Linked DNA regions of Sus scrofa. The protein of the gene in region 6 purifies or fractionates together with the protein of the main gene of each other region. This does not show direct contact. Links are inferred from orthologs where the notes say so. Each region holds a gene or a part of one and is shown on either strand. Other genes may lie near its edges.

Region 1 (3,500 bases), about 4.2 Mb from region 6:
GGTTTAAGAATAAAGTAGTGATTATTCTTTCTTTCTTTCTTTCTTTCTTTTTTTTTTTGTCTTTTGTCCTTTTAGGGCTGCATCGGAGGCATGTGGAGGTTCCCAGGCTAGGGCTCTAATCAGACCTGTTGCTGCTGGCCTAGGCCAGAGCCACAGCAATGCCATATCTGAGCCACATCTTCGACCTACACTACAGCTCATGGCAGTGCCGGATCCTTAACCCACTGAGCAAGGCCAAGGATCAAACCCTCAACCTCGTGGTTCCTAGTCAGATTTGTTTCCGCTGCACCATGACGGGAACTCTGTGATTATTACTTCTTGTCAGAGCCAATGTCATTATTTTCTGGTCATGCCTCACAAACTACTAAGAACCACATGACTACATGATGGTTTTCAAAATGTGTTCCGTCTTATTCAAAATGACAGCAAGAATAAGCTGTCACTTTAGCTGGACTTTGAAGACTTCAGATTGTTTAAGAAAATTAAGAATTTTCCTAGAATTAGGTCAATCTTCCTAAAAGAAATTTTCTAAAAGGAAACAATATGAGGGGTGTTTTGTTTTGTTTAGTTTTGCTTCAGGAGATGATGGATACCCATTTCAGTGGATCAGAAATTTTGCATGGGAGAATAGTGTTGGTTAGGCCTCAAAGCTAAGTTACAGTAAGATGTGTTTAACCATGGGTCCCAGTTAAAGGAGTTTGAGCTTTTTGCCGAGGGAATAGGAAACCATTGAGATTTTTGAACTGAGTACTGCTTCTAAAGATATCTGGAGGAGTTCCCATCGTGGCTCAGTGGTTAACGAATCTGACTGGGAACCATAGGTTGCGGGTTCGATCCCTGCCCTTGCTCAGCGGGTTAAGGATCTGGCGTTGCCGTGAGCTGTGGTGCAGGTTGCAGATGCGGCTCGGATCCCGAGTTGCTGTGGCTCTGGCGTAGGCCGGTGGCTATAGCTCCGATTCGACCCCTAGCCTAGGAACCTCCATATGCCGAAGGAGTGGCCCCAGAAAAGGCAAAAAGACAAAAAAAAAAAAAAAAAAAAAAAGATATCTGGAGAATGTGGGTGCCATAAATTAAAATAGGGGAACCAAGAGTGAGGTGGAAGTTTAAAAATTTTTTGGAATCTGCAGTGAATTAACTAAGAGAATACTGGAACGCAAGATTAGTTTTCAGGAGCGGAGTTACTATAAATCATACTCATAGAAGTGATGTTCAGAACAGAAAGTTGGATGGATCCTTAAAGAATTTAGAGAAAGCACAGAGTGCTTTCTCAAGGCTTAGCTGCCCTCAGTGGGCTCATAGTTCAGAACCTGGGTTTTCTCAAATGAATAATTATAAACAAGTCACTTTTGTCATTTGTACCCTGAGTGTTCATCACAACTGTACATGAGGAAGTGCCCATTGTGGTTCAGTGGGTTGCAAACCCAGTTAATATCCATGAGGATGTGGGTTTGATCCCTGGCCTTGCTCAGTGGGTTAAGCCTCTGGTGTTGCCGTGAGCTGAGCTATAGGTCAAAGATGCAGCTCAGATCTGGCATTGCTGTGGCTGTGGCATAGGTTGGCAGCTGCAGTTCTGATTCGACCTCTAGCCTGAGAACTTCCATATGCCACAGGTACAGCCCTAAAAAGCAAAACAATAATAAAAATAATAACTACATGAAATTGTAGGCTAGATATTTCTAACTCTCGCCACTGAATCCTAGTTAAATTACTAAGTTTGTATTCTTTGAAAAAAGCCAGCCATAAATATTTATACTAATAATGCCTTCCATTTATATAATAAAGAATTTAGAGAAAGTACAGAGTGCCTTCGCAAGGCTTAGGTGCCCTCAATGGGCTCATAGTTCAGAACCTAAGTTTTCTTTCTTTCTTTCTTTTTCTTTTCTTTTTTTTTTTGTCTTTTTGCTATTTCTTGGGCCGCTCCCGAGGCATATGGAGGTTCCCAGGCTAGGGGTCCAATTGGAGCTGTAGCCACTGGCCTATGCCAGAGCCACAGCAACGCAGGATCCGAGCCGCGTCTGCAACCTACACCACAGCTCACGGCAACGCCGGATCGTTAACCCACTGAGCAAGGGCAGGGACCGAACCCGCAACCTATGGTTCCCAGTCAGATTCGTTAACCACTGCGCCACGACGGGAACTCCAGAACCTAAGTTTTCAATATGTTTTCATTTGAACCTTGAAAAAAATTGTCTTTAAGACAGCTTTTACCGCGTTCCATAGATAAGCGGAAACAGGTATAGAGGACAGTTAGGATTCGAATTCTAGTTGCCCGATTTCTTTCTTTTTTTTTTTTTTAATTTTTAAATTAAAAAATTTTTTTTGCTTTTTTAGGGCTACATATGCAGCATTTGGAAGTTCCCAGGCTAGGAGTCAAATCAGAGCTGCAGCCGCAGCTGCCAGCGTACACCACAGCTCACGGCAATCCTTAACCCACTGAGCGAAGGCCCGGGATTGAACCCTCGTCCTCATAGATACTAGTTGGATTCATTTCCATTTTGCCACAACGGGAACTCCAAAACAGAACAGTGTTTAGCATGGAGTATAAGCATCATGTAAGTCATTGCTCTGGTTAGTCTGAGGTTCGTCATTGAGTTAGAGCGGTTTCCATCTCTGCCCTATGTGGATTTTTGCCAATTTTTTCCTCCTTCATATTCCAGCCTCCAACCTACCATTCTATAATATTATACTTACTTTTTTTTTTTTGTCTTTTTGCCTTTTCTAGGGCCACTTCTTGCAGCATATGGAGGTTCCCAGGCTAGGGGTCTAATCGGAGCTATAGCCACCGACCTACGCCAGAGCCACAGCAACTCGGGATCTGAGCCGCATCTGCAACCTACACCACAGCTCACGACAACGCCGGATCCTTAACCAACTGAGCAAGGCTAGGGATCGAACCCGCAAACTCATGGTTCCTAGTCGGATTCATTAACCACTGCACCACGACGGGAACTCCACTTTTAATTTTTAAAATTTTCACTTAAAAGATTCTTTATATTTTACTTTAAATTATAGTCCTTTACTTTCCCTTCTGGCACAGTGACTTTTTAAAAAATTCTCTACTCTTGGGACTAACTTTTTTCTTTCTTTTTACAGCCGTACCTGCAACGTATGGACGTTCCAGGCCAGGGGTCGACCCAGAACTGCACTGGTGACCTTTTCTGCAGCTTGTGACAACACCAGATCCTTAACCCACTGACTGAAGCCAGGGATTGAGCTGGCATTCTCACAGAGACAACCTCAGGTCCTTAACCCACTGAGCACAACGGGAATTCCCAGGACTAATTTTAAAATTTTGATTCTCCCTGTATCCTTTAGGCAGCACAGAGCTGACTGGCAGCACTAATCTGATCACACACTACAACCTGGAACATTCCTATAATAAATTCTGTGGGAAGAAAGTGAAGGAGAAGCTAAGTAACTTCCTGCCTGACCTGCCAGGGATGATTGATCTGCCTGGTTCCCATGACAACAGCAGCCTCCGCTCCCTCATTGAGAAGCCC
Region 2 (4,011 bases), on a different chromosome or scaffold from region 6:
TCTGTGGCCCACGCCAAAGGCCAGTCAAGTTCTCCAGACTCGGGTTTCCTTCTGAGTGATGTTCACCAGGGTCTGTAATAGTGATCCTTTGCAATCTATCAATAAACAGGTTCTCCGAGCTGCTAGAATGATCCTCTACTTGACTTGAAATGTGATGCTGAGGGAGTCGCTCACTGGCTTCAGATGAGGAAGGCACAGCGGCTCTGCTGCTGGAAGGTGGGCACTTGCTCACTGAGTGTTCGGGCTCAGGGGCCTCAGCATTGCCTCCATGAGTAGGATGGACCAGGCCCCGCTGTGAGGTTGTCTGAGACGACGTGATGGTAGCTATAGAGGAGCAGCCAGGAACTAGTGATGAAGTATCAAGTATCTGGTCAGAATTCTGGGCCGTATCTGTTGCCACATCAACAACTGTACTTGCTTTTGTCCTCCACTTACAGTCTAAATTAACGGGATGAAAGAGGTCACTTCCCCCTCTAACTTCTTCATGTTCTTCAATGGCAGCTTTCAGTTTGGCGACAGAGTCTATGATCTTTCTACCTTTGTCGGGCAATTTGCAAATGAATTTTCTGGCAAAAGGAAAAGAACAGGCATATGTGAGAGAGCCCTGTTTTTAAACTTGAGATATAAAGACAAAGAATTATTCTCAAAGGGAGAAAAGCTGATCTTTAAGTAAAAAATCTGATTTCCAACTGGCCCCAATTAGGAATGAAATAAGAGAATCATTATCCAAATACTCCCCCCCCAAAAAAAAACAAGTGGCTGCATGAATAGGAAATATGCCTCATGTGTCTCATCTAATTAGAATTTCAGCAAAAGTATTTTAAGCATATGATACTCATTAAAAGACATCCCCCAAATTAGCAATTTTTAGACGTGTGATATGCAAGACCTTCCTGGGGAGGGTAGGTAGATGGACCTGCAGGGTCAAAACTATATAACACTAAGACACTCTTTGCCATTTTCATTCTCCTTTGCTTACCATCAGCACAGGAAAGGTTTGCAGAGGCCACCTCATATGTGATGATACCACTGCTCTGAGGATTAATAGAATGTGTGTACTTGTCTTTTAAAGATGCTCACTTGTAATTCCTAAGGCAATGATAAATATCAGTAGATATACCACATATAAGACAAGAGCTCTTCAGGATGCTTAAGCGTAAAAGTAGTCTGGAGAACAAAAAGTTAATTTGCCACTTACAGATTAAAAACCCATTCTCAGAGCTCCCTTCGTGGCTTAGCAGAAAGGAATCTGACTAGTATCCATGAGGACGCAGGTTTGATCCCTGGCCTCTGAGTGGGTTAAGGAACCGGCGTTACCATGAGCTGTGGTGTAGGTTGCAGACGTGGCTCGGATCTGGTGTTGCTGTAGGCCAGCAGCTACAGTTCTGTTTTGACACCTTGCTTGGAAACCTCCATATGCTATGGTGTGGCCCTTAAAAAAAAAAACAACAAAAAACCAAAAAAAAAAACCATTCTCACGAAGTCAAAATAGTTGTCTTTACTAGGAAGCTCCCAAGTGATCACTTGTCCCTTTTGCTGAGTGATAGAAGTTCCTTTTCTGATTTTCTTTTCTTTAGCCACCCAATAAATGGGGAGGGAAAGTTACATCTCATGCCCTCTACTCTTTATGACACTATATTCATGCCCCCAATTCTAACTATTAAACATCCCTCTCCAGTTAGGATGCCTCTATTTTCCCATCCTTCTTCTCTCTTAAGCCTCATGACCACTTCTCCAGTTTTTAACCTGATAGAATCAACTTCTATCAACCCAGCTCCCCTAAGTGAAATCAACCTCAGATCTACTCCCCTCCCCAACTTTTCTATTTTTATTACTAGTGCCTCCAGTACAGGCAAGAAACTTCAGCCGTCTCTGTCAACTACACATCAAATTATTCCATATCTGATGTAATTTTCCCAATCCTACAATGACCCTTATAGTTAGTTCACTTTCTTAAACCTCCTTGTCGAGAGGCTCTCTGAAAATATTCTCCTACTGTCTTCTGCCTCTTACTCCCTCAAAACTATCCTGCACAAACCTGCTAAAATAAGGTTAAAAAAAAATCATGTTCATTATATCGATCCTCTGCTAAATTCCATTAACTCTATCATCTAAATGTTAGCCAAACTTTCTTTGCCTATAAGCCATTTTTTTAATTCCCCTCTTCCCACTTCCTGTAAAAAGAGAATCTAGAGATGAAATTGACAGGATGTTTGGGGCACGACTGGGGTGGTGGGCAAAGGCAAAAAAATTTGGGATACAGACCGTCCGTTCGGAAAACCGACACAGAAGCTGAGTACGTAAAACGAGGAGGAGCACGGGAAGCCATCCCACATGCGCTCCATGCCTGGCTGGACGCGGTCAGCTCTACGGCTGTAGGCCGGCTACTCGCCCGCGGACCTCGCAAAGAGCTGACTGTGACAAGGTCACCTTCCGAGGAAAGGATCGGGGTGGGGGAGGGGAGGGGCGCGTCCCGGCTAGCCCGAACCCAAGGAGACCGGCGGTGACTCCGCGGGACCCAGGCTTACACGTTGCGCAAAAGTCTCTCCTGGCGCTTCAACGTTTCCCGCAGCTCTGCCAAACTCCGCTGACCCAAGTCCTCGGGAGGTTGGGGCTCGAAGCCGCGAGGCAGCGAGGACATTCTGCGGGAGCTGAGGCTGGCGAGGCGGCGGGCACTCGACGTCCGCGACAGCTCCCGCTGCGGGCGCCGGATCCGCGGCGGGCAGGGACTCCGGCGAATGAGCGGGAGTCGCCATTTTCCCGGAAGAACAGGGCTTCTTCTAGCCGAATCGAGCTTTATTGAAACGCCGGAAACAAACACGGACAGGGAGGAGGGGGTGGCCGGAGGGGCGGGAAGAGGCGGGAGTTGCGGTGAGACGTCACACGCCGGCCGGGCATGTTTGGCGTGGTCAGTCTGTTACCAGTTTCAGCTCTTCGCCTGTTTATTCAGAAAGTATTTGGTGAGTGCCCCGCTCCCAACTGTTAAGGTGTTTACCGCGTGGGGGAGAGGGTCAGATGCTTATCAGGTGACAGTCAAACAATATAATTGTACGATGGGCCCTGGCATCTGAGAAGTACAAGAGGAAATCTGAGTGATGAGTTACCATTGATAATGTTGGGGAATGTGCCGGATAGGGCATGGGAGGCCCCGGCCCATGGCGTGGCCCGCCTAGTCCGAGGTTCAGTGAAGTTAGCAGATATTAACGTTGGAAGAACCTTTAAGGACTACCAGCGTTTCTTAATGAGGCTCCGGCGTTTGGAGCAGGAGTCTTCTTTTGCGGCACTGAATTAGGCATTGCATATCTGGTATTTGGCTTCTGTGCATTAATTGCTTTAGCACTCCTGAGTCCTTATAACAGTACCAAACGCATCCCACCCACTACCATCCCCAGCACGCTCATACACACAATTCCAAAGGCCCGCAAGAGGTGATGGGGTGGGAGGTGCTGTACAAGCCAGTTGAGAACCTCTCACAATTCCGTATTTTCCTGCAGAAAAACAGACAAAAACTGATGTAAGTTTTCCCAGGGCATGAAACTAGTAAGTGACAACACCAGATATTAAACTCAAAAGCCCAGCTGCTCTACCACACCAGTTTGAAAATCTTCCAAACTGTAAGAAGGTGTTTTAAGCTGTTGAGGAAAGCAATGCAGTAAGCATCACATCTAGTGCTTAGCTTCTCTTAATAGTTAAGCTAGGAGGGCTGTTTCCCAAAGGAAATAGTAGGAAGCATGCTAGTCTCACAGCATACATCACTTGGGAGGTTTGAAAAACCCCATAACCTCCAACACCAGCCTCCCCCTTCTTTGATATGGAAAATTTACATTTTCTCAGTCTTTTGTAAGGTGATATGATAAACACAAGCAATTCCCTCCCAATCAGACAGAAGCTCTAAATAAAATCGGAAACTGCTTCAGGGTGCACAGTTGAAACCGTTTTTGTGTCCTTGTAATCTGGTCCATTCTGATCAGTTTTAACTAATGTATTAACATTCTCAACATAAGGCCTGCT
Region 3 (3,170 bases), on a different chromosome or scaffold from region 6:
AGGGTCTGCCACGCAGCATTCTGGACCATCACAGTCAGTGGCCTGGCCACTCTAGCTCCAGCACCTTCTCGGGGTCGAGGGGACCCAGCTCCGTCTAGCACTGGCGCCCCTGAGAGTTTGGGGCAAGCCCCCGATTCTCTGATACAGAGAGCAGGTCACTGCTGCGTGGGGACCCTGGGCGGGCCAGGAGTGATGTCTCAGTGGCCCTTTGGGTCCACACTGTCCCGGGGAGGACTTCGACCCTGCTCTGGGAGACAGCTCCCTGCCAGACGGAACCCACCTCCGCCACGAGGGGCGGCCCAGGGGGCTGACTGCAGGCAGGATGACCCACCAGGCCAACGACACCCCTGGGGACAGGTGCCCCACGTTCAGGCTGGGGGAGGAGGTGCAGGTGGAGGTTCTCCCCACGCGTCTGTCTCCTCTGAGCGACATGAACCTTTTGGCCAACTGCCCAAAGGCACCGGCTCACCGTGAACCTCTGAGGACAAACCCCAGACGTCTGACAACAGAGCACAGTTCTTTAATCACATTCTTGAAAAGTGCCACAAGTCACACCACTGGGGCACAGGAGAGGTTCCGTCCCCCTCCACACGCGGGGAGCCCGAGTCTCTGTAGCCTCAGGAAGACCGGGCCATCCAGCGTCGCTGGGCTTCGGGTCCCGGGGCATTTGATCAGAGCCTTAAAGCCAGCCCCCCGCTGCTCTGAAACTCCGAGGAGCTAAGCGATTCAGTTAGTGACCGTCCCACGCAGACCCGTCTACCAGGACACGCCCGCTTCAACCGACACCAGAACCTCCTGTGCGCACGCCGCTCCCTGTGGACCCTGCCCAAAACCGCTTCAACCAACAATGCTGCCACAGAGGCCGATCAGCTGCATCTGCAGGCCCGCAGGTGGGTCGGCATGGGTTGGGGTTGAGCCCCTCTCTCGATGTAGACGCTACCCGGGGCACTTCTCGGCTCCGCTTTGCGAGGCGGGAAGAGGCTGCTCGTGCGAACGCCACGGCCGCCTGCAAGGAACACAGGCTCACAGCCGCCTCGGCTGCACGACTCCAGGTCCGGCTCTCCCACCCAGGGACCTTCCGAACTGTCACTCAGAGCTGCCCTTCTCCGAGGGCGCAGCACGTCCACCTGTTTGCTGCAGTGAAGGCTGGTGGCTGCCTCCTCAGAGAGGAGGTCAGAGGGAAACTCGTTCCTAGACCAGGGGACAAGGACTCTGAGAGGCAGGAAGAGCGGGTGTGCCCGCCAGGAGACCACAGCCGAGGTGACCACGTGGGCTGAGGTGGCCTGCCACTCTTGGGCATTAAATAGCTCAACGAGCTGACTGCAGGGGATATGGGACAAAGAGGCAAGGACGCGTGAGTGGCAGAGACCCCGGAGAGGGGCCACCGTCCTACAGATAGTGGCACCCAAGCCTCAGACAAAAGGAGACGACGACTCCAGGGCAGGAAGCCGCCGCCGAGTCTTTCGGGGCCTTCTAGCGTCTCAACCCTGGCGCCCAAGCGCAGGCCCAGCTGTCCAGGGAGTTCTGTGCAGGCTGCTGTTTCCAGAACGGGCTCCTGGAACAGCCACCGTCTCAGGGCAGGGCAGGAGGGCAGAGGGCTGCTGCCGCCTTCCTGCTGTGCCCTCGGGTCTGCCAGCTGGGCCCGCAGGCACGGCAGAGCCCCCTGCCCGTACCCGGCCTGGGGAAGCTTTCTTCCTTCCACCTGCAGGCACCCATGCGTCCGGACACATGGGACACGCCACCCAGGGACGCCAGGCTCCTTGGTCAGCGCAGGCGCAGCGCAGCAAGCCCACAGGAGCCCTCCCAGGGTGGAGACGGGAGGCCCCTCGGCTACTCCTTGGGGATCTCAAACATGCACAGGCTCTTGTACTTCTGCAGCAGCTGGCTCTTGGTGCGGACTTGCTCCCGGAGGCTCAGCAGCTGCTGCTGCTGCTGCTCGGGGCTCAGGTGGATGCCGGGCATGGCGCTGACGGCCTTGCGCATCTCCTGAAACTTGGTCTTGAGGGCGTTCAGGTCCTGGTGCACGTCAGGGCCGTCCTTGTCCATGCTGCCAGGGAGAGGGCAGAGGTTAGCGCCGCAGCCTGGGTGGCCCTCCGTAACCGCCCCCCGCCCCAGCGCAGGGCTCCCACATCAGCCCGTTGGGCTGTGCGCCCCAAGGGCGGAGGGCAGGGCAGGGCCTTGGCAGAGCAGCAGCTGCCCGGCCAGCCCCCCGCCCCCCGCGTGCCCGCAGTTCGCGGAGCCCCCCTGCAGCACCGCACCCCCAGCCCGGGCCCGGCACGGAAGCAACATTCGCTCAAAGAGTGAACGCCCGGCAAACACGCGCCGAAGTGTCTGCCGAATGAAGAAAAAGCCATTACAACAGTAGGTGACAAACGGCAAGCAAAATTTGCTGAAATACCATATTTCTTCTAATTTGAGACGTTCTAGGCCGATCAGGAGACTTTATCGACGAGCCAGAGATAGTTTTAGCTCATTTTCTGATGCTTGAACCTGTTTCCATAAAGGCTGATTTCCACAGAATTTTATTATTACATAATAAATTTTATTATTTTTTTCTTTTTTTATTCTTTTTAGCGTCACAGAAGCAGCATATGGAAGTTCCCAGGCTGGAGGTCGAATCGGAGCTGCTGGAACTGCTGGCCTACACCACAGCCACACTGGATCCGAGCCGGGTCTGCAACCAACACCACAGCTCATGGCAACCCCAGATCCTTAACCCACCGAGTGAGGCCAGGGATCGAACCTGCGTCCTCACGGATACCAGTCAGGTTGGCTGCCGCTGAGCCACGACAGGAACGCCCATAAATTTTAAATTAGTTACAGGTGCTGGAACTTTGCAGCAGCATGTGTGCTCTCCTGCACACTCGCAAACACTCCTGGCCTTCAGGTCATCTCGCCTGAAAGGCGGGTCACACGCTTCACCTCACAGCCACTGCTCGCCACCCAGAGACCCGTGCCCCCGTCACTGCTAAATTCAAAGCAAACAAGAACCAACCCTTCCGCTAAGTTCAAGGGGACAGCCTGTCAGTGACTCGCATGCATTTTTTAAAAGTTAGTCACTAGATGGATATGCCTTGAAAACAGGCAGTAGGGACAAAAATCCTAAAGCCGATTGTAGGCTTTTTTTTTTTTCTTTTTTTCTTTTTTTTTTTTTTGTCTTTTGTCCTTTC
Region 4 (3,456 bases), about 52 Mb from region 6:
AGGGAAAAAAAATTTTTTTTGTTTAAGTCAACCCCATCCAGATACTAAGATAGCCCTAGGCCTGCATGGGAAGCTAGCAGCCTGGAGCCAGGGCCCAGCCTGGAGCCTGGAGCCAGACAAGAGTTTTGAACCATGTGGTATAAGAACTACAAATATTTTAGGGGATAGGACAAGGTCACTGAAACTTGAATTGCAGAGCCTGCTGGGGGGGGGGCTTCTCTGTCTGAGAAAGGTGAGGTATAGATGGAGACAGATGTGGCCCTTCAGTTTGTCACCCAAAGCTAAGAGGTGACCTGATGTGGGAGAAGCATCGTGGCCCTGAAAGCATGAAAGGCAAGGTAGGGGTCAGTCTCCAGGTGGAAAGCTAACAGGCTGACTTGGCAACTTTGCCCTGCCCTCCTCCCCACAGTCTGGCTACTCAGGGTCCATGTCTACTTGGCTAATCCAGAAAGGACTATAATGGCTATAAAGGACCAAATTAAAAACAATTCTCAGACTGGTTTGTGCAAATGTTTTTTTTTTTTTCTTTTATTTCCACATTTATATCACAAGGTGTCCACTTACTGGACCAAATAGCAAAGTTGCTCCCTTCTGCATCCTGAGAACACAGAAGTCTAGGTACTGTACATTCACTAAGGCTCCTTGTTTTTGCAAATCGCGTTTATGACAAATAACCATAAGGCAAACGAATCTAAAGGAATGGTTATGAGTGTTTCCAGCGTACAGACAGGTCTCCTCTCACCCAACAGTACAGCTTACACACCAGTAGCACCCGCGGTTACTTTTGTGGGTTTTTTTTTTTGTTTTTTTTTTTTGTTTGTTTTTTTTGGGGAGGAAGGGACTCTAGGAAGGTGAACTTTTCTAGATTTGTGCAGGAAGGGGAAAACGAAGAGGGAGGAACAAAGTAAAGTTACTCATCTGGTGGTGAGATGGAAAAGGGGGATAAAATAAACTCTAGAAAACTTAAATTTTGCAGCATTTCTTTAAAAACTGGGTTTTAACTGAAACGAGATACAAATGTGTGGATGCCCATGGAGTGTGGGTCAAACTGCTGGCCAGTTGGCCTGACTGATGCCAGCAGCTTGCTATAGCTGAGAAGCTTCTGGCACCACGATGGAAAAGCTGGCCAGGTGGGGTGCAAACAGAGGCTGCAGTGTTGCCCACTGCCTCACTCAGGGCCACATTAAAAAACAGAAAATGCAAAGAGATGAGATGCGTGCTTCTGTTGCTGTGTTAAAGGTAACCTCTTCCACAGGTTTTCTCTGCCTGCCTGCAACTGAGGTCCCAGCTCATGGGGGCTGGGCAGCGTCCACACCTCTTCTGAGGTGGGGAACTAACGCTTTTTATAGCTGGTTTGCTATAGAGTTCTGAACTCACTTTGCTGGCCTTCCTTCCACACGGTCCTTCCTTTGCAATTTTGTTAGTAAACTGGTAGCAGCATTTCACAAAAGAAGGAGAATTTTGAGGGAAGAGCACGGAGAGACCTAGAGACTCTCGCCCCCTCCCTCCCGCCCCAGGCCGGACTCCCTGGATTCCCAACCACTGGAGGTGGCAGGGTCCTGGCGCCCCACCCTCCACGGCTAACTGCAAGGTGGGAATGCACTTAGAGCCCGCGGGACGGTCAGTCCAAGCAGACATAAGGCAGAATGTTCAACCGCCCGTCGTCGCCGTGCGGGTCGAGCGATATGCACTGCGTCCAGTCATACCAGTTACCCTGTGTGTCCTGACACCCATTCACCCCTGGCCACTGGTGGGCCTGGATTCTGTCCAGATCGTCCTGTGTGACCTCTCGGCTCAGCCCAGGGAGGTCCGTGGGTGGGCCGTGAGGCACCAGCACGTGTGGCTTCCGGGCCCCACGCCGAGTGCTCTCCTCCTGCTTCAGGTACTCGGACATGAAGTGGTGAGCCCCTGGGGTCTGCGCACCCGATGATGAGAGCAGGCTGCTCTGCCGGCTCAGGTACGATTGGATGATCTCGTTGCGCGACAGCTCCTTCCAGTTCGTCTGTTCAAAAGGGCTCTGGAGGTTGGCCTTGGCCTCGGGTTTGTCCAGCTCTGTCCTGGGCTGCTCTGTGTGCACAGGGCTGTCGGCCCGCACTGGCTCTTTCTGGGTCAGAGGTTTGATCTGTCTTGTCATGGGGTCAAAGGTGAGCTTCCGCTCTTTTAACCGGACAGGTTTGACGCCCGCCTCGGCCACTTGCCCGTCCAAATTAACCGTGTAGTCACGAGGCCGGTACCTCTTCTTCTTTTTGCTGTCCGAGCCACCGGAGGAGGCAGCATCGCTGTCTGCCTTGGAGGAGTCTGGGGAGAAGCCTGCCCGGGGCAGGAGAGGCTCGGCTGGGGGCAGCCCTGCCTTGCAGCCTGGCCCTGAGAGCCGCTGGTGGCCCTCAGGCTGTTCTAGCCAGCGCACCGGGCTCTCTGCACTGGGCAGCAGCTCCAGTCGCCGCACAGGGGGTGTGGATGGCTGGGCCAACGGAAGCGGTGATGGCACCTGTGTGGCATCAAGCGACTGGGGCCTCTGTGAGGGACTGGGCACCGAGCCCTTGTATGTGTACGGGCTCCGTTGCCGGGCAAAGGAGCCCTCGTGCCGTGAGTTCCGGGGACTGAAAGAGCATCGAGGTGGTGCCTTGGGGTGGGGGGGGCCGGGAGTCTCGTCCACCCTGTCCAGCTGCTGCAGCAGCACAGCCTTCGTCTGCAAGCAGGGCCCGGGGGGCTTGCCTAGGCCCGGGGAGCTAGTGTGAGGCCTCACGGCGTTGATGGGGATCTTGCCGCTGTGCTTGTCATTCTCGCTGTGCTCCAAGCGGCTGCCCTCAGGGCCCGCATGCCCACTGCCGTCCAAGGAGCCAGGGAAGCTCTCAGGGCTCCCACTGATCCCGTTAGTGGGGAGGGGGGACAAGTTGGGTACCAGGGAGTCGTGGCTTGCTTTGGAGACCTTGGGAGGTGGCCCAGGGTGGCCAAGGTCACGCTGGTCTCCCCGGCGCTTGCGGCTACCCAGCCTGTCCAGCCGCTGCCCGGGCAGCCTCTGGATGTCGTTGCGGTTCTTCAGGTCGTGGATGCTCTTGGGTGGGCCAGCTGCCCCTGCCTCTGGCCGACAGTTATGGGCACCCCCATTGGCTGAGCCAGTGGCGCCTGCCAGCCCCCGCAGTGTGGCCTCATTCTGGTGCACGGGCTCGATGAGCTTCTGCCAGCTCCGCAGCAGCTTCTTGGCCCGCTTGGCAAGCTCCTCATTCTTCGTCTTCTTGCGGACATCGTTGATGAGCTTCCCAAGTCGAGTTTCCTACAGCCAGAGAGAGATGATGACACACTTATAGGACAGGGAAACCTCATGAAAAAGGGAGCTGAGTGAGAAATGACGGGGAGCACCCCATGTCTTTGAAATGACCTCACACTGGGCCCTAAACCACTGGCTTCCCAGACACAAAACCTATGAGGATTTGGAGCCTTCGTGGCATTTAAATT
Region 5 (4,094 bases), on a different chromosome or scaffold from region 6:
CAAGAAAACAATTAACAGATTTAGTTTCTGGCAGATGGTGCCTTGTCAGAATATTCCCAAATCAAAATAATTTCAACTCACATACATGTTATGAAGACAGAAACAGACTCTCATTCCATTCACTTCCCACACTGGGGTGCTTTGGATGAAACACGGCCCAAGGAGAGAGCAGCACGGAGGAGCCAGGGGAAGCCTCACTCAGCAGGGCCGACGCCGGCACATCAGAGCCCCTGCCTCTGTCAGAGGAGCAAGGATAGTCCCCACCACCACCTGACAGCATGAAGTACTACAAAAACATACAATCCTGTTCGAGGTCCCGAGAGTAATCTAGTGATTATTTTAACTCCACCCCAAGGCAGGATTTTTAAGTTTCTAGAAACGTTCACTGCCTGAGAACCACCTCTGATGTGGTCAGGATGAGCCTTGCTGATGACAGCAATGACAGAGACAGGGTGACTCCAGCTAGGTGAGCCCAGCTCTGGTCTGGTACTTTACACATACCTCGCACACCTGTGTTCCAGGAGAAATGCTATCACTCTTCAGATTCTCAAAAGGCCCTGTGATGAACCTCTGCAGATCTGAGATCTCAAATACACAAAACACACAAGACAGAAAACTACTCCCAGCTGGGAATTTGTCAGAAGATTGTTTTCTCAGCTGATTGGTGAGTTTACTGTATTGGGTTACTCAGACTTGCGGGACTGATCAACACACTGTACATGAAGTCTCATTAACTGCTGTGACAGCCACTGGCCTGTCTGGGCCCTGGCGGCCTTTTCTGAGCAGTCAGAGGAACAGAACAGCATGGAGAGGAGTTCTTTCCCTCAGGGATTTTCTACACAGTGAAACACCAGCATCATGCTGCACCTTCATCATTTAGCTGACGGATTTACAGGCTCATTAGTGCCCAAGCAATGGTCAGGTAAGACTTGACTTCAAAGCCATGCTAACAGCATAGTAGTGTGTTAAACACACCAGCACAGCGAGCCCCTCCCTTCTAAAGGAGGCCAAGCAGATGGCTCCAGTGGAGGATGCAGCCTAGGCCACCCCGCCTGCATTCAGTGGGCAGGTACTGGCAGGCGAGCAGTAGGCTGAGGACTAGGCTCTACCTCCCAAGATGACAGAGACATAGATGGAGAAGGAGGCTCCCCGCGGTTGGGGAGGAGGTGGTTCTATCCTGGTCATTCGCTTCTGTGTGAATGGAGCAGAAGAGGCTCAACAACCAGAGGTCACTCAGTCCACAGGGGGAGTAGCAGGATGAGAGTGGGCAGAAAGGGAGCACTCAGGGCATACTGTGGCCTCCACAGAGGTAAGGTAAACAGGAGCCACTACAACAGGAGTCGGGAATGCTCGCCTGCCCCAGGTTCTGTTCCTGAAAACAACCACATGTATATACACCTTTGCACACAGCACTGGTAAACTTAGAAAAATATGAACTGACGAGCTCATACACTTCAAAGAAGAAAAAAAGTCATGCTACATGGTTAAAACAGAGGTACCCACAGCAAAAGCCTATTGTAGGAGGGTGTACTACTACTTTGCACACTGACCTACTTGTGCCAAAGCTGCACCCCCCTTCCTAAGCTTGATGCAGAACTACACTAGGTATTACAGGCAACGTTTCACGGGGTCTAACTAGGATCTAAAGAAGTGCACACCTCCCAACAGTTATTACCACGACAACCAGCATGGAGCATGTCTGATTCCTCCTGTACTCGCTATAGACCCATGTTTTCCTAATTTACAAACGTGCAATCCTATCACAGAAAAAAGAAGGGAACACAACCGTTTTCTAAAGAATTCAATTTTGGTAGTTGAGAACTTTAAAAAAAAAAAAAAAAAACCCAGCCGCCTCTGATTATTAAGTCACAAGTAGTGACTATCGTCTGACCTTAGAAAAACATGCAGACACACAACAGTGGGCCTTACATTCTAAAGCTCTCCCCAAGTGCATCCCGTTCAACTGCAGCCTCAGAGACTTTTCCTACCCAGTTCCCAGCTCAGGACCCCCTCCTGTCCCCGGCCCTTCTTCCCTCTCCCGGCCCAGAACCTCTTTCCAACCCGGCCGCCCCGCCCGGCCCGGCCCCGTCCTCCCCTTCCCACTCACCCGGGGACCACCACCTGGCCCGGCTGCGCGCACAGTTCCCGAACCACACCAGCGCGCTCCGACCTCAGTCTGCGTTCGGTACGCACGCAGCTCCCAGAGCTCGCGCGGGCAGGAGCGGGCCCGGCGGGCTGCGCGGAGGTTGCGGCCTCGCACACAGCCAGCACCGAGCCGATGCGTACGGCTGCGCCCGCCGCCACCTTCCACTCGAGTAGGCGCAGCGGCCCGGGGCCGGGACAGCGCACCTCGGCCACCGCCGGCGGCGGGGCGCCCTCGGTGGGAACGCGGCCGCCGGGCGGCGCCTCCATCGCAGCTGGGCGGAGTTGCTGTGGAAAAGCGGCGGCGGACGCTCAGGGCCCGGCGCCCATCGCGGGCTGGCGGGCGACCCAGGCCCAGGCGGAGGTGGCGGCAGCTGCGGAGCACCGATTCTCTCCCCGGCACCGGCTCCCACCCGCCGCCCGTTCCCCGCCGACTTCCGGGACAGCGTGCGATGTCACGTGCCGCCGCGTGCGTGCGCGGATGCACTGAGGACCCGAGTTAAAAACCACGCCCACGCGGGGCCCTAGAGGTCCTGCACCAGCCACGGGCAGTGAGCCCCATCCTAGAACTACACCTATGGGGCTGATTCCGGTGGAAACAGTGTTCTTAGTCCCCATCCGTCCCACGAACACCAGCGTCTGGGATCGCGGGTCCCAGCATACAACGCGCACCCCCCCCCCCATCAAACGCTGAGGTTGGACGTCGTGGTGGGACTACAATTCCCGGCGTGCAATGCGCCCCTCTGTGTCACGAGTTCCCATCAGGCACAGCGGCTGGGGCTTACAATGAGAGTCTGTATCCTGCAGTTCCCCTGGGCTGCTGAGATCCAGTATACTGAGAACTAAAATATCGGTATGCACGGTGCTTGGCTGTCTCACAGTCCTCCATTTGCTGAAGTCTTGGGGGTGTCTTTGGACTACAAGGCTGAAGTCCCGGCATGCAACTTGCCTCTGTCCCAGAAACACCGTCAGGCTCTGCGGTCCCAGCATGCAACGCGGGGCGCTGACCCACGACTCCTCTCGCTGGCGTTGAGGCTGGCTGCCTGTGGGACTGCAAGGCCTAGGGTGCGCCACCGGTGCGCTGCTGTCCCATGGGTTCCAGTGGGGCGTTTGGAATTCCGGCATGCCACGCGGGTTTCGTGGAGCTGCTGTCCTAGCATGCGGAGCGCGGTTGGGATTTGGAACCTGGTGGGCGCCAGGTTCCCTGCATCCCCCAAGAGTGCCTGTTTTGGGGTCTTCTTTGGTTCCGACCCTCCCCGCACTGTCCCAGCCCTCTTGCCCTGGTGCCCGCCTGGGGAGACTGGAACCACCTGGAGACCAGCCTTTGGGAGGAGTGGACGTGGTGGACTGCGGCTGCCCTCAAGGTCTTTCTTGATTCGATTTTTGAAGAGCTGCACTCTCTGGCGGGAACTGGACAGAAGCACCTGTCCCAACAACAGAACCCTTAGGTGCATGAAGCAGAAACTGATGTAATTTAAGGGAGGCAGACAACTCAACAGTAGTATGTGCATAACTATGTTGTACTTTGCTTTATTTCACTTTGTGGATACTGCATTTTTTCACAAGTTAAAGGTTTGTGGCAGCCCTGTATGGAGCCAGTCTATCGGCACCATTTTTTTGTAAAAGCATTTGCTCATTTCATGTCTGGGTCACGTTTTGGTATTTCTCACAATATTTCAACTTTTTAATTATTATTTGTTATGATTATCTGTGATTAGTGATCTTTGATGTTACTATTATAATTGTTTTGGGGGTATGCCCTGGTAAGATAGTGAACTTAATTGGTAAATGTTGCGAGTGTTCTGATTGCTGCACTGACCAGCCTTTCCTCCCATCTCGCTCCCTCCTCTCTGCCCTCTAAGTGTAATTAGGCAGATTAATAAACCATAATGGCCTCTAAGTGTTCAAGTGAAAGGAAGAGTCGCACATCTCTCACTTTAAATCAAAAGCTG
Region 6 (3,960 bases):
GCTCAAGTCTCTGCTGGGATGCAGGTTCAATCCCCAGCCCAGCACAATGGATTAAGGGTCCAGCATTGCCACAGCTGTGGCTCCAATTCAATCCTTGACCTGGAAACTTCCACGTGCTCCAGGTGCAGCCCAAAAAAGAAAGAGACGGTCAGGAATGAATGTCTCCTCCTTAGCCCCACCTAGCCCGCCTGGACTTACATGTCGAGAGATGAAGCAGGACATGGGCCCAATTTCTGTGAAGAGTCCGACCTAAAAGGGAAATGAATGACCTAGTTTTTTCTTTTGTCCCCATTGTCTGCTGAGCATCCCGTCTTTATCTGCATCCTAATAATAGTCTTCATGTTTTGAAACCACTCTGAAATTTGGCATTTGTTTTCATTTTTCTCTCCTTTTTCTTTTTTTTTTTTTTATTTTCCCACTGTACAGCAAGGGGGTCAGGTTATCCTTACATGTATACATTACAATTATATTTTTTCCCCCATCTCTCCTTTTTCAAACTTTCACTTTATGTTAACAGAGTGTAGTAGTCAACACCTGAGGCCTCGAACCTGTCTGTCTGGAATCTGAACACTTGTCGGCCACATGACCTTGGCCAGCAGTCTTCTCCAAGCTTCAGTCCGGAGGTAAAAGCACTCGCCTCACAGTCATTGTGAGGCTTTGCACTTCACCTGGTGCACAGGATCTATTCAATCAATGGAAGCTACTGCTCTTTTGACTCTTAATGTTGACTTACATTTTACACCTGCCTGAGTGAGGCAGGACAAGATTCCCATGCCATCTGGCAGGTAAGGACACCTGAAGCACAAAGAGGTGATTTGGCCAAAGACACAGAGTTAGCAAGTAAGAGTTGGGGCCCATCCCAGATTTTCTCAGGACTTCCCATTACCTGCCCTGTGGATGGACTTACCTTGTTGACTTGAGTGACAACAGCATCCACGACCTCCCCTTTAAAGGGCCGGAAAACGATGGCCTTGTACTTAACTGGATAAAGGACAAAGCCTCGGCCTGGCTGGATCACACCAGCACCGATATTGTCAATGGTGGTGACAGCAATTACAAAGCCATACCTGCAGGGAGGATGAGAAAGAGAAAGGTGTGGAAGAGCCTCTAAAACCATCTGCCACAAGAGGAGTTCTGGTTGTGGCTCAGCAGAAACGAATCTAACTGGTATCCATGAGGACACAGGTTCAATCCCTGGCCTCACTCAGTGGGTTCAGGACGCCGGCATTGCTGTGAGCTGTGGTGTAGGTTGCAGATGTGGCTCAAATCCGGCGCTGCTGTGGCTGTGACATAGGCCAGCCGCTACAGTGCCGATTCCTCCCCAGCCTGCGAACCTCCTATGACACAGGTGCAGCCCCCCAAAAAAAGACAAAAAAAAATCTGCCACAAGAGTCACCGAGCCTGGGGGTTAAAGGGCATCACAAAGGGCAAGTAGATGGCACTCCTGGTCCCAGAGAACTTAATGATCAAGAGAGAAGACAGGGCAATGACCAGCATCTACAAAGCCAAATGCTGATCTCATAAGTTCACAATAAGTGTCCAAAAGGGCTGCAGTCCTTGAGCCAAGAGACCTCAATCTCTTTTTAAAATTTATTTGGCCTGTGGCATTCAGAAATTCCCAGGCCAAGCATAGAACCCACGCCACAACAATGACAATGCCAGATACTTAACCTACTGAGCCCAGGTACTTCCACATGCCAAGGGTGCAGCAAAAGAAGAAAAAAAAAAAAAAAAAACATACATATATATATATGAAATGCATATCCCCAGGCCTGTCCCCAGAGATATGGGGATGCTGTAAGGATGACATGAGGCTCAGGAACCTGTATGTTCAAAAGACACCCCCAGTTGCTCTGATGCTGGAGCCCCAAGTACTCCATGGCCCTGCTCATCCTGGTTTGTCTACATCACCAGATGAGAGGTCCCTCTGTGCAGAGCAAAGAGACGGTCAAACGTCAGTGCTCTTCCTTCCTCCCCCTAACTCTCAATCTGCTTTATCCTGGTCACTCCCTCATTCAACACACTTTTAGTGAAGCCCAATGTGCCATGACAGGTCCCTGGGCGTGGGGGATAAAGAAAACCAGCAAAATCCAAAGAGACTATGAGCTCGAGCTGGCCGCTTCTGTCTTTCTCACTGCATTATTCCCAGGGCCCAACACAGAGCCTGGCACACAGCTGGAGATTTGGAAATGTTTGTAAAGTAAATGAATGACCAATCTTGGCTGAGGGAAGTTAGTCCCGTTATCCAGCTTCGCAGAGGGCATCATGGGAACCCGAAGCAGGAAGCAAATGACTGCCTGGGCCGTCTGGGTGGGTGAGAGGGCTCTCCAGGGTAGACAGCACAAACTTTCAGGACTTGAGGAGGGGATGAAGGCACCGGGCGCCGAGGGCGCACTGCTCAGGCAGCACGGAGAGCGGGACACTCACTTGCCGGTGCAGGTCCCCTCCACTTCAGTGAAGAGCTTTTGTTTCACGGTGTTAAGAAGGTTGGGGCCGAAGTAGCGCGGATGCAGCAGGATCTCGTGCTCCAGGGAGATCTGCGGAGAACGTGGGATGGAGACCAGGCAAGAAGCGGCCCCCTACTCCCGGCCTTCCGCTTCGCTCCTCCTCTCGACCCTACCCTTGCCGCCACCCCGGGCCCTGCTCACATGGTAGAACATCTTCCCGGAGGAGGCTGGACAGCAGCCAGGCCGAGAGCAGCCAGGCTTAAAACAGCGACAGCAGCAGCAGCAAAACCCCCGGCAGGACCGGAAGTACACCAACCTCCCCAATCCCGCTTCCGGGCCTGCCCCAGAGAGGTGGGCGGGAACACGTCTCGTCTGCGGACTTGATTGGGCCCCGTTTTCGTGGGCGGGGAAATCCACGAAGCTCCTCCCCCTTCGTCCAGTCCACCCTCTGTAAAAGCACAGGACGCTCACAAATTAGCAAGGCCAGGTCTAGACAAGAAGTTCAAACGGTGGATTTAATTAATGAGAGACGTCATAAATAAAGCGCTTTAGCAGAATATATTCATTCAGCAAACAGTTGAAGACTGCTTTCACAGAGTAAGCATAATAACTATCTGTTCTTATCTGGAGAGAACGGAGGCCAGGACCACAGCAGCCCTGACCCCTCTCCTTCCCTCTTTTTGAAGCCAGCCTCCCTGCAAGAGCAAACTTACCTGCTGACAGTGGTGTGCTGGAGCCCCTGCAAAAGCCAACTGTTACTATTTCAGGAATTTTGCAAGCTAATTCTTAAACACAGCCATTATTAAAATGTAATTGTCTTAAAATTAAATGAATATTTGAAAAAAAAAAAAAGGCAGCGGTGCAGATGAAACAAGTTTGGCAATGACTTTTTTTTTTTTTTTTTTTTTTTTTTGGTCTTTTTAGGCCTGCACCCGTGGCATATGAAGGTTTCCAGGCCAGAGGTCGAATCAGAGCTGTAGCCATGGAACTGCGTGTGCCACAGCCACAGCAATCCCACATCCGAGCCCCCTCTGCTAGCTACACCACAGCTCAGGGCAATGCGGATTCTTAACACATTGAGCGAGACCAGGGATCAAACCTGAGTCCTCATGGATGCTTAGATGCGTTTCTGCTGAGCCAGGAGGGGAACTCCAGGCGATGTATTAATGATTGTTGAAGCCAGATGATGGATAAACTGTGGCTTTTTATATGTTTCCTTCTACTTTTGTATGTTTAAAATTGATCATAATAGAGAGTTTCCATCGTGGCTCAGTGGTAACAAATCTGACTGGTATCCATGAGGACTCTGGTTAGATCCCTGTCCTCAATCAGTGGGTAAGGATCCGGCGTTACTGTGAGCTGTGGTGTAGCTTGTAGACGCCGCTCAGATCTGTTGTTGCTGTGGCTGTGGTGTAGGCCGACAGCTACAGCTTCAGTTGGACCCTGGCCTGGGGACATCCATATGCTGCAGGTGCAGCCCTTAAAAAAAAAAAAAGTTCAGGAGTTCCCGTCG
Region 7 (3,238 bases), on a different chromosome or scaffold from region 6:
ATGGAGGATGAAAAGGAAGCGTAGGGCAGAATATCTATTTGTATTTAGAGAAACAGTTCTACAGACCAGACTTTTAGAAATATTGGCTTAAAGTGTTATTTTAAGAATAATTTTGCCCCCTTTCTTTTCCTGCTTTGTCTTGTTTCAACTGTGAATGATTCTGACACTAAAATCTCCCCCTTCCTGTTGCCTTTTATTGTGCCATGTTGGACCTGTTTCATGACTACTAGAAACATTTCAGTAATTTGCTCTCATATATTAATAAATAGATCCAGTGTTTTCTATTACATTTAGCCATTGCTTATTTGGTCTGGATTCCCTTTGATCTAGTATTTTAGTGTCTATCTGGTTCCCACTGGAATGAATGAGAATATCCAATTAATCTACATTGTTTTCATTGTAAGCTACAGAGTTGTTCTTTTTAATTCCTCTAATCTTTGTTTCTATAGGCCTGTCATCTTTACTTCAGAGTGTTACTGGGAACCCAGTTCCATCCAGTGAAGCTGCATCCCAGAGCACTTCAGCGTCCCCCGCCAACACCACAGTCTCTAACATAAAAGGAAGAAATTTGCCCTCCAATACCCAATCCTTTATTTCCAAAGGCTTCAGCTATTCTCCTAATTCATCAACTTCTGAAGTCTCTTCAACTTCAGCCAGCAAGGCCTCGATTGGGCAAAGCCCAGGGCTCCCAAGCACTACTTTCAAGCTCCCATCCAACACTCTGGGGTTTACAAGTACCCACAATACTAGCCCTGCTGCCCCACCTACTGAAGTTGCCATGTGCCAATCTTCAGAGATCTCCAAGCCAAAGCTGGAGTCCGAGTCCACCTCCCCAAGCCTGGAAATGAAGATTCACAACTTCTTAAAAGGTAATCCTGGTTTCAGTGGCTTAAACCTAAACATCCCAATCCTGAGCAGTTTGGGGTCCAGTGCCCCAACTGAAAGCCATCCGTCAGACTTCCAGCGTGGCCCTACTAGCACGTCAATTGACAACATTGATGGAACCCCTGTGCGGGATGAACGGAGTGGGACGCCCACCCAAGATGAGATGATGGACAAGCCCACATCCAGCAGTGTAGATACCATGTCCCTGCTTTCCAAGATCATTAGCCCTGGTTCCTCAACGCCCAGCAGTACAAGATCACCACCCCCTGGGAGAGAGGAAAGCTACCCTCGAGAGCTCTCCAATTCTCTATCTACATATCGGCCCTTTGGTTTGGGCAGTGAATCACCCTATAAGCAGCCGTCTGATGGGATGGAGAGACCGTCTTCCCTGATGGACTCTTCACAGGAGAAATTCTATCCAGATACTTCTTTCCAGGAAGATGAAGATTACCGAGATTTTGAGTATTCAGGGCCTCCACCCTCTGCCATGATGAACCTAGAGAAGAAACCGGCCAAATCTATCCTGAAATCAAGCAAGCTTTCTGATACCACTGAGTACCAGCCAATCCTGTCCAGTTACAGCCACAGGGCCCAAGAATTTGGGGTCAAATCTGCCTTCCCTCCATCTGTAAGGGCCCTTCTGGACTCTAGTGAGAACTGTGACCGTCTGTCATCTTCCCCTGGGCTATTTGGTGCCTTCAGCATAAGAGGGAATGAACCTGGGTCTGACCGGTCACCTTCACCGAGTAAGAATGATTCATTTTTCACCCCTGACTCCAACCACAATAGCTTGTCTCAGTCTACCACTGGGCATCTCAGTTTGCCACAGAAGCAGTACCCAGACTCTCCTCACCCAGTCCCACATCGTTCCCTTTTCTCTCCGCAGAATACCCTTGCCGCTCCCACGGGCCACCCACCCACGTCAGGTGTGGAGAAAGTCCTGGCCTCCACCATTTCCACCACATCGACGATTGAGTTTAAGAATATGCTTAAAAACGCCTCACGAAAGCCCTCAGATGATAAGCATTTTGGCCAGGCCCCCAGCAAGGGCACTGCAAGTGATGCTGTCAGTCTCTCAAACCTCACCCAGCCCAGCTTGGCAGCCACTGATCAGCAACAAGAAGAGCACTACCGTATAGAAACCCGAGTCTCCTCCTCCTGCTTAGACTTGCCTGATAGTACCGAAGAGAAGGGGGCCCCTATAGAAACCTTGGGTTATCATAATGCATCCAATAGGAGGATGTCAGGGGAGCCAATACAGACTGTAGAGTCCATCCGAGTTCCTGGGAAGGGAAATAGAGGACATGGGCGTGAGGCTTCAAGGGTGGGTTGGTTTGATTTGAGCACCTCAGGCGGCTCGTTTGACAATGGTCCCTCAAGTGCCTCTGAGTTGGCATCCCTTGGGGGTGGGGGCAGCGGAGGCCTCACTGGCTTTAAAACAGCACCGTACAAGGAACGGGCACCCCAATTTCAGGAAAGTGTCGGCAGCTTTCGTTCCAACAGTTTCAACTCAACATTTGAGCATCATCTCCCCCCGTCCCCCTTGGAACATGGGACACCCTTCCAGAGAGAGCCAGTGGGGCCATCATCTGCCCCACCTGCCCCTTCTAAGGATCATGGTGGTATCTTCTCTCGAGATGCACCCACTCATCTACCCTCTGTGGATCTTTCGAACCCCTTCACAAAGGAGGCGGCGCTGGCCCATGCTGCCCCACCTCCTGGAGAGCACAGCGGAGTTCCTTTCCCCACCCCACCCCCTCCTCCACCCCCTGGGGAACATAGCAGCAGTGCTGGGAGTGGTGTCCCTTTTTCTACTCCACCTCCTCCTCCACCTACCGTTGACCATTCTGGGGTTGTACCCTTCCCAACCCCACCACTGGCAGAGCACGGAGTGGCAGGGGCTGTGGCAGTATTTCCCAAGGACCATAGTTCCCTCCTTCAAGGGACCTTGGCTGATCATTTTGGGGTGCTCCCAGGACCCAGGGACCATGGGGGCCCTACCCAGCGGGACCTCAACGGCCCCGGCCTTAGCCGTGTACGCGAGAGCCTCAGCCTACCTTCCCATTCTCTGGAGCACTTGGGCCCAGCCCATGGAGGAGGAGGTGGGGGAGGCAGCAACAGCAGCAGTGGGCCTCCCTTGGGTCCCTCACACAGAGACGCCATCAGCCGGAGTGGGATGATCTTGCGGAGTCCCCGGCCAGACTTTCGGCCTAGGGAACCTTTTCTCAGCAGAGACCCTTTCCACAGCTTAAAGAGACCCAGGCCACCTTTCGCTAGGGGCCCTCCGTTCTTTGCACCAAAACGCCCATTCTTCCCTCCCAGGTACTGATGGAAACTAAGGGAAAGGCATTTT

Evidence for each region.
Region 1: the proteins of POLR2G (region 6) and MED19 purify together in Homo sapiens (affinity purification with mass spectrometry; 3 studies listed by BioGRID and IntAct, with this or other methods). This does not show direct contact. The link is inferred for Sus scrofa from reciprocal best matches to the Homo sapiens genes POLR2G and MED19.
Region 2: the proteins of POLR2G (region 6) and POLR2M purify together in Homo sapiens (affinity purification with mass spectrometry; 4 studies listed by BioGRID and IntAct, counting the BioPlex papers as one, with this or other methods). This does not show direct contact. The link is inferred for Sus scrofa from reciprocal best matches to the Homo sapiens genes POLR2G and POLR2M.
Region 3: the proteins of POLR2G (region 6) and MED9 purify together in Homo sapiens (affinity purification with mass spectrometry; 3 studies listed by BioGRID and IntAct, with this or other methods). This does not show direct contact. The link is inferred for Sus scrofa from reciprocal best matches to the Homo sapiens genes POLR2G and MED9.
Region 4: the proteins of POLR2G (region 6) and MED26 purify together in Homo sapiens (affinity purification with mass spectrometry; 6 studies listed by BioGRID and IntAct, counting the BioPlex papers as one, with this or other methods). This does not show direct contact. The link is inferred for Sus scrofa from reciprocal best matches to the Homo sapiens genes POLR2G and MED26.
Region 5: the proteins of POLR2G (region 6) and CTDP1 purify together in Homo sapiens (affinity purification with mass spectrometry; 4 studies listed by BioGRID and IntAct, counting the BioPlex papers as one, with this or other methods). This does not show direct contact. The link is inferred for Sus scrofa from reciprocal best matches to the Homo sapiens genes POLR2G and CTDP1.
Region 7: the proteins of POLR2G (region 6) and RPRD2 purify together in Homo sapiens (affinity purification with mass spectrometry; 3 studies listed by BioGRID and IntAct, counting the BioPlex papers as one, with this or other methods). This does not show direct contact. The link is inferred for Sus scrofa from reciprocal best matches to the Homo sapiens genes POLR2G and RPRD2.

The regions. Positions count from the first base shown.
Region 1 is NC_010444.4:13,244,311-13,247,810, forward strand, and holds part of MED19 (mediator of RNA polymerase II transcription subunit 19), read left to right. Parts: intron 1-3,315; coding exon 3,316-3,500. UniProt on the Homo sapiens protein: Component of the Mediator complex, a coactivator involved in the regulated transcription of nearly all RNA polymerase II-dependent genes.
Region 2 is NC_010443.5:114,264,063-114,268,073, forward strand, and holds the start of POLR2M (protein GRINL1A), read right to left. Parts: upstream 2,801-4,011; 5' UTR 2,642-2,800; coding exon 2,529-2,641; intron 2,468-2,528; exon of another isoform or gene 2,346-2,467; coding exon of another isoform or gene 2,266-2,345; intron 567-2,265; coding exon 1-566.
Region 3 is NC_010454.4:60,924,661-60,927,830, forward strand, and holds the end of MED9 (mediator of RNA polymerase II transcription subunit 9), read right to left. Parts: intron 2,048-3,170; coding exon 1,831-2,047; 3' UTR 501-1,830; downstream 1-500.
Region 4 is NC_010444.4:61,032,706-61,036,161, reverse strand, and holds the end of MED26 (mediator of RNA polymerase II transcription subunit 26), read right to left. Parts: intron 3,275-3,456; coding exon 1,622-3,274; 3' UTR 501-1,621; downstream 1-500. UniProt on the Homo sapiens protein: Component of the Mediator complex, a coactivator involved in the regulated transcription of nearly all RNA polymerase II-dependent genes.
Region 5 is NC_010443.5:145,808,874-145,812,967, forward strand, and holds the start of CTDP1 (RNA polymerase II subunit A C-terminal domain phosphatase), read right to left. Parts: upstream 2,801-4,094; 5' UTR 2,413-2,800; coding exon 2,108-2,412; intron 1-2,107. UniProt on the Homo sapiens protein: Processively dephosphorylates 'Ser-2' and 'Ser-5' of the heptad repeats YSPTSPS in the C-terminal domain of the largest RNA polymerase II subunit. This promotes the activity of RNA polymerase II.
Region 6 is NC_010444.4:9,005,832-9,009,791, forward strand, and holds the start of POLR2G (DNA-directed RNA polymerase II subunit RPB7), read right to left. Parts: upstream 2,801-3,960; 5' UTR 2,661-2,800; coding exon 2,649-2,660; intron 2,538-2,648; coding exon 2,428-2,537; intron 1,068-2,427; coding exon 908-1,067; intron 250-907; coding exon 199-249; intron 1-198. UniProt on the Homo sapiens protein: Core component of RNA polymerase II (Pol II), a DNA-dependent RNA polymerase which synthesizes mRNA precursors and many functional non-coding RNAs using the four ribonucleoside triphosphates as substrates.
Region 7 is NC_010446.5:98,644,366-98,647,603, reverse strand, and holds part of RPRD2 (regulation of nuclear pre-mRNA domain-containing protein 2), read left to right. Parts: intron 1-449; coding exon 450-3,214; 3' UTR 3,215-3,238.